3 separate regions of the Mus musculus genome follow, and regions 2 and 3 are each reported to be linked to region 1. Evidence: microRNA targets listed by miRTarBase, many of them from high-throughput screens and not tested one by one. Region 1 holds a microRNA gene; each other region holds the end of a gene's coding sequence.

Evidence for each region. The annotated mature microRNA mmu-miR-214-3p reads ACAGCAGGCACAGACAGGCAGU and lies in region 1 at 1,396-1,417, shown strand. An mRNA with a match to its seed (bases 2 to 7 or 8) in the 3' UTR can be bound and repressed. Matches are read on the target gene's strand: a 7mer-m8 pairs with bases 2 to 8, a 7mer-A1 pairs with bases 2 to 7 and ends in A, and an 8mer does both.
Region 2: the mRNA of Pkn3 is a reported target of mmu-miR-214-3p. Seed matches in the 3' UTR shown: 7mer-m8 at 3,770-3,776.
Region 3: the mRNA of C330007P06Rik is a reported target of mmu-miR-214-3p. Seed matches in the 3' UTR shown: 7mer-A1 at 3,642-3,648.

The regions. Positions count from the first base shown.
Region 1 is chr1:162,222,043-162,226,284 of GRCm38, forward strand. It overlaps Mir214 (microRNA 214), which reads left to right and starts at 1,326; the gene lies at 1,326-1,435. The region is part of intron 14 of Dnm3 (dynamin 3); the gene reads right to left. Dnm3os (dynamin 3, opposite strand) reads left to right here. Exons shown (of 1, transcript NR_002870.2): 1 at 1-3,508.
Region 2 is chr2:30,090,407-30,094,648 of GRCm38, reverse strand. Pkn3 (protein kinase N3) reads right to left here. Exons shown (of 22, transcript NM_153805.2): 21 at 4,238-4,242; 22 at 3,630-4,126. The coding sequence ends at 3,914. It overlaps Zdhhc12 (zinc finger, DHHC domain containing 12), which reads left to right and starts at 1,014. Exons shown (of 5, transcript NM_001037762.1): 1 at 1,014-1,160; 2 at 2,108-2,244; 3 at 2,584-2,661; 4 at 2,816-2,982; 5 at 3,083-3,705. The coding sequence starts at 1,061. The coding sequence ends at 3,404.
Region 3 is chrX:36,847,120-36,851,361 of GRCm38, forward strand. It overlaps C330007P06Rik (RIKEN cDNA C330007P06 gene), which reads right to left. Exons shown (of 7, transcript NM_029951.1): 7 at 1,424-4,043. The coding sequence ends at 3,981. Among named protein-coding and RNA genes, the nearest start is that of C330007P06Rik, 15 kb to the right of the region's middle.

The sequences.
Region 1 (4,242 bases):
TTTGTATACTTGACTTTGTAACTACTTGAATAGCAGCCAAGCTCTTGTGCTCTGAAGTGTTGGACAGAAGCACACGTTTATCTTCTTGAACTTAAAGAAGTCCAGATATAGTTGCACTTATCAACTCGGTTAAAAGGATACCATCTCTAGGCACTGCACAAAAGTTCAAATGTGCAGCAAACTGTTCTTTTTCTCATTCTCAAAAAAGATTTTATTGTTCATAAAACTTCTGCCTGCATTTTTTTTTCTTTTTAGGTTTTCCAATTAAAGGTAAATAAGGAAGTATTTGTTTTCTTTAAAGATAATCTCTAATGTATACCTCTTGGATAATAATGTATTTTGTTTTTAAAGAAATTCCAATTTTTAGACTTTCAACTCTTTGGCTGTTTTTGTGTTTAAAATGACAGTGAAGTTGTTAAATATCTCTGCATATGCAAATTGACTAAGTATGTTAAAAATAGCAGAATTCCTGACTCAGCAGGATTGCAGTTTGCTTCTGTGTACTTAACACAATTAATTCAGATTGTCATTTTGGATATGAAGTGAACTTTCCTTTTCTGTGTTTAAGGTCCTACTCTGTAATGATATTGTATTAACAACATCAAAAACACATTCAGAGCACTAGTGTGGGAAAGAACATTCTAGATCATGACTTTGATTCATGGTCTCACCCTGCTTGTTAATCAAGGGGGATAGAAGCTTATGAACTCTTTGGTTTTCATATGGATATTATAAAAAGAAAAGAAAAATTTAAATACATTTCTGTTGCTTGGAGAGATATATATATCCAAAATCTGTTAGGTGGATTGCCAGACACTTTAGGCTCATTAATATTTTGAGAATGGCTGCTGTTACCATGTAGATAACAATATATTTTTTCATGGGCAAGGCTATGGCACTTACCTACTCTGAAAAACATGTATAAACATAGACTTTAATTTCACTATTAAGAGATGCAGAGGTCTTGTGAAAAGAAAAAAACATATGGTTTGATTACTTTGAATTCTGACTGCATGAGGGCCAGTAACAACAGGAACTGGATTTTAAAAGTTTATGTTGTTATTTTTTTTTCCTTAAAATCATGTGAATTTTCTGTTTTTGACAATTATCCTTGTTAGCAACATTTGGATCAAATGTATGAGTGTACTTCTGAATAAAGCCAAACGTCTAACTTCTTTTTAGTTCCATAATGTTTTAATGTTTAATTCTATTGTGTGTTTCTCTCCTTTCCCTTTATCCCCCTGTCCTTCCCCCCTAAATCACCAAATCTGGAAAACAGGCTGATTGTATCTGTCCCTGAGCAAAGGAAACCTGAAGGACCCAAGGGCCTGGCTGGACAGAGTTGTCATGTGTCTGCCTGTCTACACTTGCTGTGCAGAACATCCGCTCACCTGTACAGCAGGCACAGACAGGCAGTCACATGACAACCCAGCCTGAATGACCACCAGCCATTGAAAGAAAGCTGCCCTCACAACATAGCATCTACACCAAGAGCTACAACCACAGTGAGGGGGTTGGGGGGCCTGGGGTTTGAAACTGTTGGCTTATTAAAAGAAAAACTCGTATGTAATCCTTTGATTTTTTTTGATTCGCATATTAAAACCTACCCGAAGTAAAGTGAGTGGTGCCTATGAAGCCTAATAAAGCCCATTTCTGAAAATGCTCCTGTGTCTGCCATGGTCCTACTGCCTCCACCACACTCTCGACATTCACTGCACACACCTTTGCTGCCTCCTGACACTGACGTGAAAACCAATTCGACAAAACCATTTGGCTTCAGTTGGATGTTTGTCGAAGAGGAAATTATTCTGCTGGGTCTTGTCTATAAATGATTGTTTATTTGTACTGTAACTTTTAAGTGGGGGGGGGGGGAGGGGAGAGAGGGGAAGTATGGAGAGAAGAGACAGAATAAACAAGTAACAATATATTCTAAAGGATCAAGTATTTCAAGTTAACAAACTGCCAGTCTGGCCTGGGTAAAAGATATTTTAAAATATCCCTAGTAGATTTTTCACTCATATTCAAATAACAGTTTCTCTTCTTGGGATAAACAAGAATATTGAACCGTCAATATTTCTGAGTGCTATAGCACACACAGACTAGCTACCATGTTGCTGTTTAGCTAAGAAAGCTTTTCTAGTGCAGTCACAGGGATAAAATATAGAAATCTGATTTGCTTACTTGGGATCTATGTTTCCAGTCACGTAAGCTCTCAACCCAAGATTTTTCAAACCCGTTGATAATTTCAAAAAAGCAAAGATAGCCCTGCATGACATATTTTGCCCTAATTTCTGAGGAAATATCAAAGTTTCTGTTCTGACATGAACTGGAGAAGTGGTCAGGGCTGGCTTTGTATATGAGCATTTAAAAAAAAAAAACAACAATAAGGATAACATGCAGAGACAGGTAAATTTAGAAAATTATTCTATTTTGACCTTGTTTATTAACATATTTTACCTTTCAATGTTTCACATTTAACTTTTTCTTATATTCTAATCAAGTTTTAAAATTATAATCTGAGGCTACCCCAAACTATTTTGTAATGATTGAAATAACAATCTCAAGCAAACTGCCTTGCCCACAGGCCTTTCATTTTTAAAATATAAGATTTAATCTTAAGGCTAAGAGTTCACAGTTTCCAAATTTTCTGAATTCTATGGTATTTGTACTAGATGTGACACTATACTTTCTTTAAAAGAAAGAGTCATAGGCAAAACTGTGTCATGAAAATATGAATAAAGTTAAATGTCTTGCATGTAAACAATCTGGACTCACAGAAACTATATCCCATGCAAAAAATGATCTGTTTTGCCTTTATGAAACTCGTGAGGAATTAACAGGGCTTTTTGCCTTAGAGGAAACTCCCATGACCACCCAACAGAATGCTGAATGATACATCACAAAACGTGAAGTATAAACAGGAAGTATAAACTGTCCATAAGGCTATTTGCATAGTCCTACCCAACTTTAAATGCTTTACAGGAACTGCAGCAGACACTACCAGAGCGCTCATGATGAGTTATTCTTCCAGGGCAGGAATGTACCCCGTTCAGGGTGACACAGTGTCCCAGTCAGAACACGAAGGAACTGGGGGTTAACAGGGATATCCAGCATAATGTATCAAATAATTTTTCCATAAATCATAAAAAATACCCTTAAAAACGTTTCTGACTCTGCTCTCAAAAGCCTTGACTGTCTTATATGCACCTTAAATTCATAAAATAAGGCACACTTGAGATTTTATCCTTCTGGGAAAGGGGTAATATAAAGAATGTGGACTTTGCAGCATTAGATTTGGAAACAACAAACAGTAGTAGTCGGTTTGTAGTTAAAGGATACTTTGAGTAATTTTGAAATGGCACTGGCCATTACCGTGTATTAAATAACACTTATTTTATTTCCTAAATCATAAATCTTTGGAGAATGCCAGGATGTGGAAATAATCAACCTCATATTTAAAAGCACAATGGAAGTTACTTTCTATAGGAATAAAAATTACAAGTATGAAGATGGAGACTTTTAAGTTATATACGTCGGTGTTTGGTGTTTATTTGGACTTTAAAAAATGAAAATAGCCAAGTCTGAGCTGAGCGAAAGATTTTTGACAAGGAATGTGGAGCATTCAGTGGTCTGGGTGGCCTCCTCCATCACTGGGGCCCGCTCCTCCTGTTGCAGCTAGGCACGATTAGAAAGGGCTACGTGAGAAGGCAGAGATCTCAGCATCCCTGGGCCATGCATCCCTGTGACTTTGCTCTCCTAGTTTTGCACATCCAGGCCTACAGCTGTCACTTTCTTTCCTATTTTCAAAGTTATATTTGTCATCTGCGAGAGCTGCACAATAAAAGCAGCCCTAAGTAAGCAGCCCTATAAGGGAATGATATAATCTCCTTATCAAGCTATCCAAACATTTCAGCCCACAAAAATGAGGCCTGTAATTTCTTAAGAGTTCCAAGAATGTCCTGTTTCAATGCAGATTTTGACTTCCTTCAGTGGAGCAGGGTTAGCATAGCTCCGCTGGAAAGACCGTTTCCCTGACTCCAGTTTCTGTTACTGTTTCATTCTCTGTGCTGGGTGGGCCACAGATGTAGAATAAGAATTGGCAACCAGCGTCGCTGTATATGAAGGGGCAGTTCCTTCTCTTTGGTTAATTTAACTTTGGGAAAACTTGCACATTTAGATGTGTGTCTATTTGCCCACTTCTTGGGGAATATTAAGAAAAATGAAAGCCTCTTCCCCTGAATC
Region 2 (4,242 bases), not on the chromosome of region 1:
TTGAATTTTCTTGCCTCTATCACCAGTTTGTTGAGATTTCAGGCATGTACCACCATATCATATATACCATGCTGGGGCGATAACCCAGCCTTTAGTGCTTGCTAGACAGTCTACCAATTGTGTTAATCCCCAGCCTCTGTTTAATCTCATATGGAATAGTATGATTGGCCCTAACCGCCCCCCGTCCCCCCGTCCCCCAATACACACTCGCGCGGGTGCGTGCGCGCGCACACACGATGGACAACCAATCCTTCCATAACCACCCTGGCCATAGGAAGTCAGTTCTTCAGAAAAAGGGATGTCTATTTGACCAAAACAAATCCCAAGAGCATGCACACTGGGCTTTGGGCTAGAAGAGGGTCATCAGGTGGAAGTCAGCTGAATGGGGGAGGTTCAAGGAACACAAGGAGAGAAAGTCAGTCTGGTTGGGCCGTGGTGGTAGCAGGGGAGACAAATACCTGTCTAAGACGCGGGTACTATTACCAACCCCATTGAAGAGGCAGAAAGTAGCCTAAAGAAGCTCAGTAACTTGCCTCGAGAGTCATAGGCCGGACAATTATTTCTCTGACTCCAAGCTGGGCCATGCGTGTCCAGACTCCGCACCAGAACCCTCCTTTTTCCCATCATCCGTTTGCAAAATCAGAAAACGAATAAGAGGAAAGTGTGTCATCAAGGCGTGCCCTCCTGCAAGCCCGGCCCATCGCCCCTTGGGAGCAAGCTCCGCGTGGCCTCCGGGGATCAAAGATGGGCACGCATGCGCATGCGGGGGTGGGGTTGTCTTCGGAGGCTTCCGCCTCCCGGGTTTTGCAAAGTTACCTGGCCCACAGGAGGCGGAGTTAGGGAGTTGTAGGCTGTGCGCGCGCGGGCCCCGCCTTCAGCCTCCTCGGGCACCTGTTGGCCTGAGGGGCCGCCGGTGGCACCCAATAGACAGCCTCCCTGAGCCGCCCGTGCCCCGCCTCTAATGCAGAGCCACCAATCCCCGCGTTGCTGCAGCCCCGCTGCCCCGCGGCCCCACCTTCTGCGCGCTTCTTCCGGGTGGGCTCGGGCGGGGGCCAAGGCCATGGCTCTTTGGCCGCCGCTTAACTCTGGGATGCTGGTGCGGACTGGGCACACCGTGCTGACCTGGGGAATCACTCTGGTGCTCTTCCTGCACGACACCGGTGAGCCGGACACCGCGCCACCCCGAGCCCACCCGATCACGCGTGGGTATACCGGGGTCCCCCTAATCCTCAGACACATTGAAATCTCCATTTCTATCTCCCACCAGTTCCTCAAGCGTCTTTCTCCTATGTCGGTCCGGGGATCATCCTCTCTCCGCCTGATTCCCAAGTTGGACCCTAATTAATCCCAGTAATTTTCTGTCATCGATAGATGTCCATCCATCCAAAGACCACCAGAGCCCATCAGAGGACCAACTAGAGGCCCCATCTCTCCCATCCCTGGGCTCTACCTGTCCTTCCCAGAAATTGCCTCCCAACCCCTCCCTAAATAAGATTAAGAAATCCGCTAGACTTAAGGACTTGGCTTTCCGGTCCACTCCCCAAATCCTATGAGCCGACTAACTACCCCAAGGGACGCCACTATAGCGAGGAGCAGGTTTCCCACCTTCGCCTGGTAGCATCTCCTTTCCCCATCATTCCCTTCACCCCCTTCCTGCCCCCTCCTAGGTTTCCCTTCCAGAAGGAACAGAGCCCACCAGAGGCTTCCTCTGTAGCCCTCCTCCATCGCTTTTGCCCTTTGTCCTCAGGCTTCCACACCAGGAGTCAGCCACCTTCAAAACCTCCTTGGCTCTCTTTCACCCAAGGGTACCAGAGTTGCCTACGCTCAGCTGTCTGGTGTCACCACGTCCATCACTTCTTAGCCCTCCCTCCTCTCCATAATCCTCCTTCACTGCCATGGGCTTAAACAGGCTGGCTGGCACCTTCCTAGCTGGAGCTCCTGGCTGGCTCCACCCTCTTCCAGGGCTGACTCTTCCCCTGGGGAGCCCCCTTCCTCCTGCCTCCCTCAGGTCTAGCCTCCATATCACCTCCAGCTACTTTCTTTCTACCCCCACCGCCTCCTGCCCTTCCCTTTTGCTATGGTTCTCACTGTCCTCTGGCCTCCCCAGAGCTACGCCAATGGGAAGAGCAAGGGGAGCTGCTCCTGCCCCTCACATTCCTGCTCCTGGTGCTAAGCTCCCTGCTGCTTTATCTGGCTGTGTCACTCATGGACCCCGGCTATGTGACTACTCAGCCCCAGCCTCAGGTAAGCAAGCAGGGACCTCGAAGGCCAACAGGGGAGTGAGACCTCAATGCTGAGCCCTGAGCTGCACTCAGTGTGGGGGCATCTTGATGAAGCCTCTTGCCTACCCCTGTGTTTTTGCTCCTACAATGATGACATCACCCAAGACCCATGTGGGGACAACTGTCTTACAAAGGTCACCAGACGTCTAGTATGCTGCCATGTGCATGCGTCCCCTCTACATGAGATGGGCCCCAAGTCCTGCACAATGGGGACCGGTGGCACCTAGAGAGATGGCCCCAGCATCGTCTGCCTCCCAAGGTAGGAGAACCCCCAATCTCATAATCTTTGTTTCGTTTTCAGGGCGAGCCCAAGGAGGAACAGGCAGCCATGGTTCCTCAGGCCGTCCCACTCCGGCGCTGCAGACACTGTCTGGTGCTGGTAGGTGATACACACATACTCTTGTGGGGGCAGTCAGGCCATCCTTAACCCTGCCTCCCAAATTTAGGACCTGACTATGGCCTTGAGCATTCTCCCCAAAGGAGGACTCACGGGGGAGGCAGCACTAAGCCTAAACTGCGCTCTGTACCCACAGCAGCCCCTGCGTGCCCGGCACTGTCGTGATTGCCGCCGCTGTGTTCGGCGCTATGATCACCACTGTCCCTGGATGGAGAACTGTGTGGGTGAACGCAACCACCCGCTCTTTGTGGCCTACCTGGCACTGCAGCTGGTAGTTCTGCTGTGGGGCCTGTGCCTGGCATGGTAGGTACCTGGGGGAGCACAGACAGCATGCACACAGGTACTCAGGGAACAGGAGTCACTGGGACCCTGCAGTGCCCAGCCCTAGCTCTCCATCCTCTAGGTCTGGCCTTCAGTTCTTCCAGCCCTGGGGGCTGTGGCTCCGGTCCACTGGGCTCCTGTTCACCACCTTCCTGCTGCTCTCCTTCTTCGCGTTAGTGGTTGCCCTGCTCCTGGCCTCCCACCTCTACCTGGTAGCCAGGAACACGACTACCTGGGAGTTCATATCTTCACACCGAATCGCCTACCTCCGCCAGCGCACCAGCAACCCCTTTGACCGAGGGCCGACTCGAAACCTGGCCCACTTTTTCTGTGGTTGGCCCTCTGGGCCCTGGGAGACTCTCTCGGCTGAGGAAGAGGAAGAAGGCAGCAGCCAGGTTGTCTAGGGTTGCTGGAGAGAAGGCTGCTGTTGTGCCTAAAAGCCAGAGGCTGTGCCAGCTAGGGATCAGCCCACTCAGCCTAAGGCCTTTACGTCTTCCTAGGGCTTCCAGCCCTCAGGAGAGAAGTAGACAGAACCCCCCCTGCCACCCCTAAAGGAAGACATAGAAGAAAAGGAAATAAGTTGGGGGAGGGGTGTTAAAAGAGAACCTAGACACTACACAACCCCTGGCCTGGCTACCTCGAGTGTACAGTTTTATTAATTTAATGCTCTATATAAAGTCAAGTATTAAAAAGAAAAGCCACCCATGCTGCCGTGGACTCTTTCCTGGTCTGGGGTCTACCGAGAAATAGAAGGACAGAGTTATAGACACAGCAGGGACACGAAGGAAAAGCCTGCAACGGCAGCCCCACGGACGGCCACTGCCTGGACTCCCACACACTCATTAAATACTTCGGCCCAGGCACATGGTTACGTGGAGGCTTCCTGCAGTCTGGCTGAAGTGCCAGGAGACCCTCAGGACTCCAGGAACTGCTCAGACACGAAGTCAAAGTCCCGGAAGGCAGCCTGTTGGCGAGCAGTGAGGGAGCTCTGGGAGACTGGTGGGGTCAGGGTTGGAGGCAGGCTGGTGAACTCTCCCTCGAAGTAACGAAGGTCTGCAGGGCCACAGAGAGTAGGCACGAAGGGAGGCTGGACGGTGCGGGCCAGCAAGGCCTGCCAGTTGGTGGTCTGAACAAGGTACAGGAATATAAGAATGTGGGAACCGCAGACCCCAGAGGCCCCCCAGCCTCCCCACCTCCCCAGGAAATGGGGACTGCTGGGTTCTGGCTTCGTAATTACCCTGA
Region 3 (4,242 bases), not on the chromosome of region 1:
GAATAAACACCAAGGACTCGTACCGTGTGAAGTAAGCCCATCACAAAAAGAAAAGTGCTATACTGCTTCCATTCACATTCATTATCTAAAGGAGACAAACTCATAAAAGCAGAAAGAACAGCAGCAGTTACCAGGCATTCAGAGACACAAAGAAAGGAGTGGTCAATGTATGCATGGTTTCAGATTTAGAAGATGGAAAGTTCTACAGATGTGTGTCACAAGGATGCAAATGAATACTACTGAACTGAGTAATTAAAAATGGGTTCGAGGGTCAGGCATGGTGGCACATGGCTTTAATCCTAGGAGGCTGGTGGGTCTCTGAGTTTGAGGCCATTCTAGTCTACATAGTAAGTTTCAGGACAACCAGAGCTCCATAGTGAGACCCCATCTCACACAAATAACAATAATAATAATAATAGAGAAACTGGACAGTAGCCCAAGTCTATAGTAGCAGCAGGCAGGAGGGTTCAAAGTCATTGCTGGGGAATATAGCTCAGTGGTAGAGCTTGACCAGCAGATACTAGATACTACATTCAATTTTTGCTAGCAGAAAAAAAACCCAAAAACAAACAAAAAACCCTCTAAAAATCCCACAGTCATTAGGTCTAGGGTGCATTGAAAATACCTTCTGGAGCTGGAGAGATGGCTCAGTGGTTAAGAGCACTGACTGCTCTTCTGGAGGTCCTGAGTTCAATCCCCAGCAACCATATGGTGGCTCACAACCATCCATAATGAGATCTGATGCTCTCTTCTGGTGTGTCTTTATTATTATGTGTCCTTACATATAATAAATAAATAAATCTTTTTTTTTTTTAAAAAAAGAAAGAAAATACTTTCCTGTTTCCAAAAACTAAAGATAGGAGCTAGAGAGATTGTTTAGTGTTAAAAGCACATTTGCTTTCCATTCCCAGTACCCACCCATAGCTCCAATTCCAGGGATCTCAATGCCTTCTTCTGACCTTTGTAGGCACCAGGCACATGTGCAACACACATACATATATGCAGGCAAAATGCTCATTCACATAAAATACTTAAAAGATCCTAAAAACACCCCATTAAAACTAAAACCCACTAAGTATGGAATCCCAGCATTCAGGAGGTAGAGACAGAAGATCTGGAATTCACCGTCAAACTCAGGCAGGCAGAGAATCTGAAGTCAGCCTGGGCACTGTGAGATTCCATTTCAAAAAACTAAAATGAAAATTAAGAGCCAGTAGCTACACGGGACCCCACCTCAAAACAAAAATATGCCTAAGATAATAACCTTTAAAAAAAACTGTAATAAAAGTAGTATGTTCAACATCATCTGTCATTAGGAATTGAAATGAAAGTCAGTTGATACCTATAAGAAACACACAAATCAGGAGACTAAGGAAATATGGTTCACAGCAATATGAATCTTAAAATGATCAAAACAAGCTAGTTTAGTTCATTCCATTCTGTTATTTATTTTATTTCATTTTGAAGAGAGTTTTGCTTGGTATGACACTCAGAACTATTCATACATGTCAGCACCCCCAACAAAACAGGTTAGCTTTTAAAAAGCCTTTTAATTTTTCTTAAGTGATAGTTACAATGCCAAATGTCACCAACTATTAGAGTAAGAATATTTTATAACATTTTCATAATTTTCTCACAGCTGATCACTTGCAGACTTATGACTTTCCCAAATGTCAATATGGCTCTTTTTATTAATATTAAAACACATTTGCTAAAAAAAAATCACTGGAAGTTAATAAAGAATAGAGAAAGTACATCTTGTTCTAATAACTTCTGGTAGAAAGTAAAATATAATGAGAAGTATGTACTTACTTGCTACTAATGACGTAATATTTCATTATTGTTAGAAGCAGTAAAATGTGTAACTTGTGTCAGATATTCAAATGGTTAGAGCGAGTTATTTCATAAAATATGTACAAGCATAACTACAGAATTGCTTTAGGGAGTTCTCTAGCTTAATATTTTTACATTGCAATTCAGTGGTTTTTTTTTTTTTTTTCAAAATGAAATTATGTTCTAATCGAATGATACAAAATTCCATAGAAGCAGCAGTTCAGCATAGGAAAGAGCTTGAGTTTTCAAGTCAGTCTTCTGGCTTTACCAAAGGCTAGTGGATCTTGGGAAAGGAAAATTCCGAGTTTCCGAGTGCTTTGTAAAACAGTGATGGCAACAGTTAACTTATCTCCTAGGAGGTGCTAAGCGTGAGCTCATACCTCTAAAGTGCTTTCTCCAACCAAGTACTCAATGGAGACTAATGAGTATTAATGTTACTGTTACGACAATTATGTTTCATTATTATTAGCAAAATAATCACCCCTCAAATCGAAAGTCACACCTAAAAAGGTCTAAAAGGATGGGAGCTTGTGAGACTAGAAACAGCTACAGGCTGTGGCCAGAGAATAGAAGCCTGAATTTCTATGGTGGTCTGTGTATATCCAAGCTGTACACATAAGAATTTGGGGATAAAGTGGCGGAAAGGTAGAGGTCATTGCCTGGACATATTTGACCATTCACAAATGTTAATTTTAATTCTGTCTCACAACTAGGACAGAAAATGAGGTGAAGACTTAGCTATAGGAAGACCCTGCTGTCTACAGAATAACTGGGAAGGTGGTAACATAGCCCCATTCTTCCAATTCCCAGGATCGCTAACCCACATCAGTCCAGTCATTGCTAGCTCAACTGTACCTCTCCTCTAAGTGGCTTTCCCCCGCAGAAACAGAAATCAGAAAAAAGGCGAAGAAAACTATTTCCTGGCAACACCTCACCAACAAGCCTTGAGTATTTAAAAAGTGCAATCCATCATAGATAGCACGAGGAAGACAACACATTCAGTGTCTCCTTGGGCCTTGCAAGACAGGCAAACAGAGAACTATATGGAAGAATCACATGGATGCTGACATAATTGAAGGAGAATGACACATTTCAGACGCTCTTCAGCAAAGAGCAAACATAAAACAAGATGCCCAACAACAGATAAGCTCCTCTCACTATGCCCCCTTCTGTGTACTCATAGAGTATTCTCCCAGCTGACTGACTAACTCCTTTGGGTTACTTAGCAAGGCCATATTTAAATCCGACCTGAGCCATCCTAGCCCTGCATCTGTGATCTGGCTTTCCTGTTTGTTTGTTTTTTGTTTTGGTGCTGGGGCTGTCCTCACACATGCCTAGCATGCATTCCACTACTGAGCTACACCCCCAGCCACATGGCTTTTCCTTCTTTTATTCTGAAGTCTGACATAGCATGGTTCACCTAGAATTCTAAGATTTTGAGTAAGGAAGTATTTCTGCAGGTTTGGTGTTTCTAACTGATCTCTACTGATAGGAGAAAGATTCAAACCATAGACCATAGTCAATTCTAAGAACAGTTCAAAGATCAGAGACAGTGTTTCTTAAAAGGATCTACCTGGCTGTATTTTAAACTTAATTTTGGTCACCTTCCTCTCATACCATATTTAAAAAAAAAAACAACAAAAAAAACCTTTAAAAACTGCAATAACTTTGAAGAAGAAAAGACATCTATGTCAGACACTAGAGAAAGTCAAATGCTTACTAGTACTAGCTACATTGCAAAAGAAGTATACGTCAAAAGAAAAGAGGACTGCTACAGAAGCCAGGTGTGGTGGTGTGGTCCTGGAACTTCAGCAGAGAGAGAGAGAGAGAGAGAGAGAGAGAGAGAGAGAGACTAAGACAGGAGAGGAGGCTCACAAAGTTCAAGGCCATACTCTGGTATGTAACAAGACCTGATCTCAAAGACAAGAAAGACAGAAAACATATATACAGAGATTTTACAAACAATCTACCTCCTAGAAAGCAAGTGAAATGGAGTCAAGGACTTCAATGGAAGAAAAGAAAAAGTGTCAGAAAACCAATAGGATGGTCAGAAAACCCTTCTGGGAGAAACAGAAACGAAAACACATCTTGAAGCTACTCTTCCTCATCTAACTGCTGCCTCCAGTCTGAACCCAGAAAGATCTTGATTATTTGAACTGATTGTCGATCAGGGTCCCCTTCATTTTTGCTTTCTTGGCTTCCAATTCAGCCTGGAAAGAAAAAAAAGTAGGCCCTGATATATCACAATCACATGACACTCTTAACATTTCTTGTTTACTCTAACTGTTCACGCTCCCTTCCTGCTCAGTGTACATGCCAAAAATGGTTTTAGAATCCTTACTCATCAACTTAAAGCCTGGCTCCTAAAACCTAGATTTAAAATCCTATGTGTATGCGTGTAGGGCATGA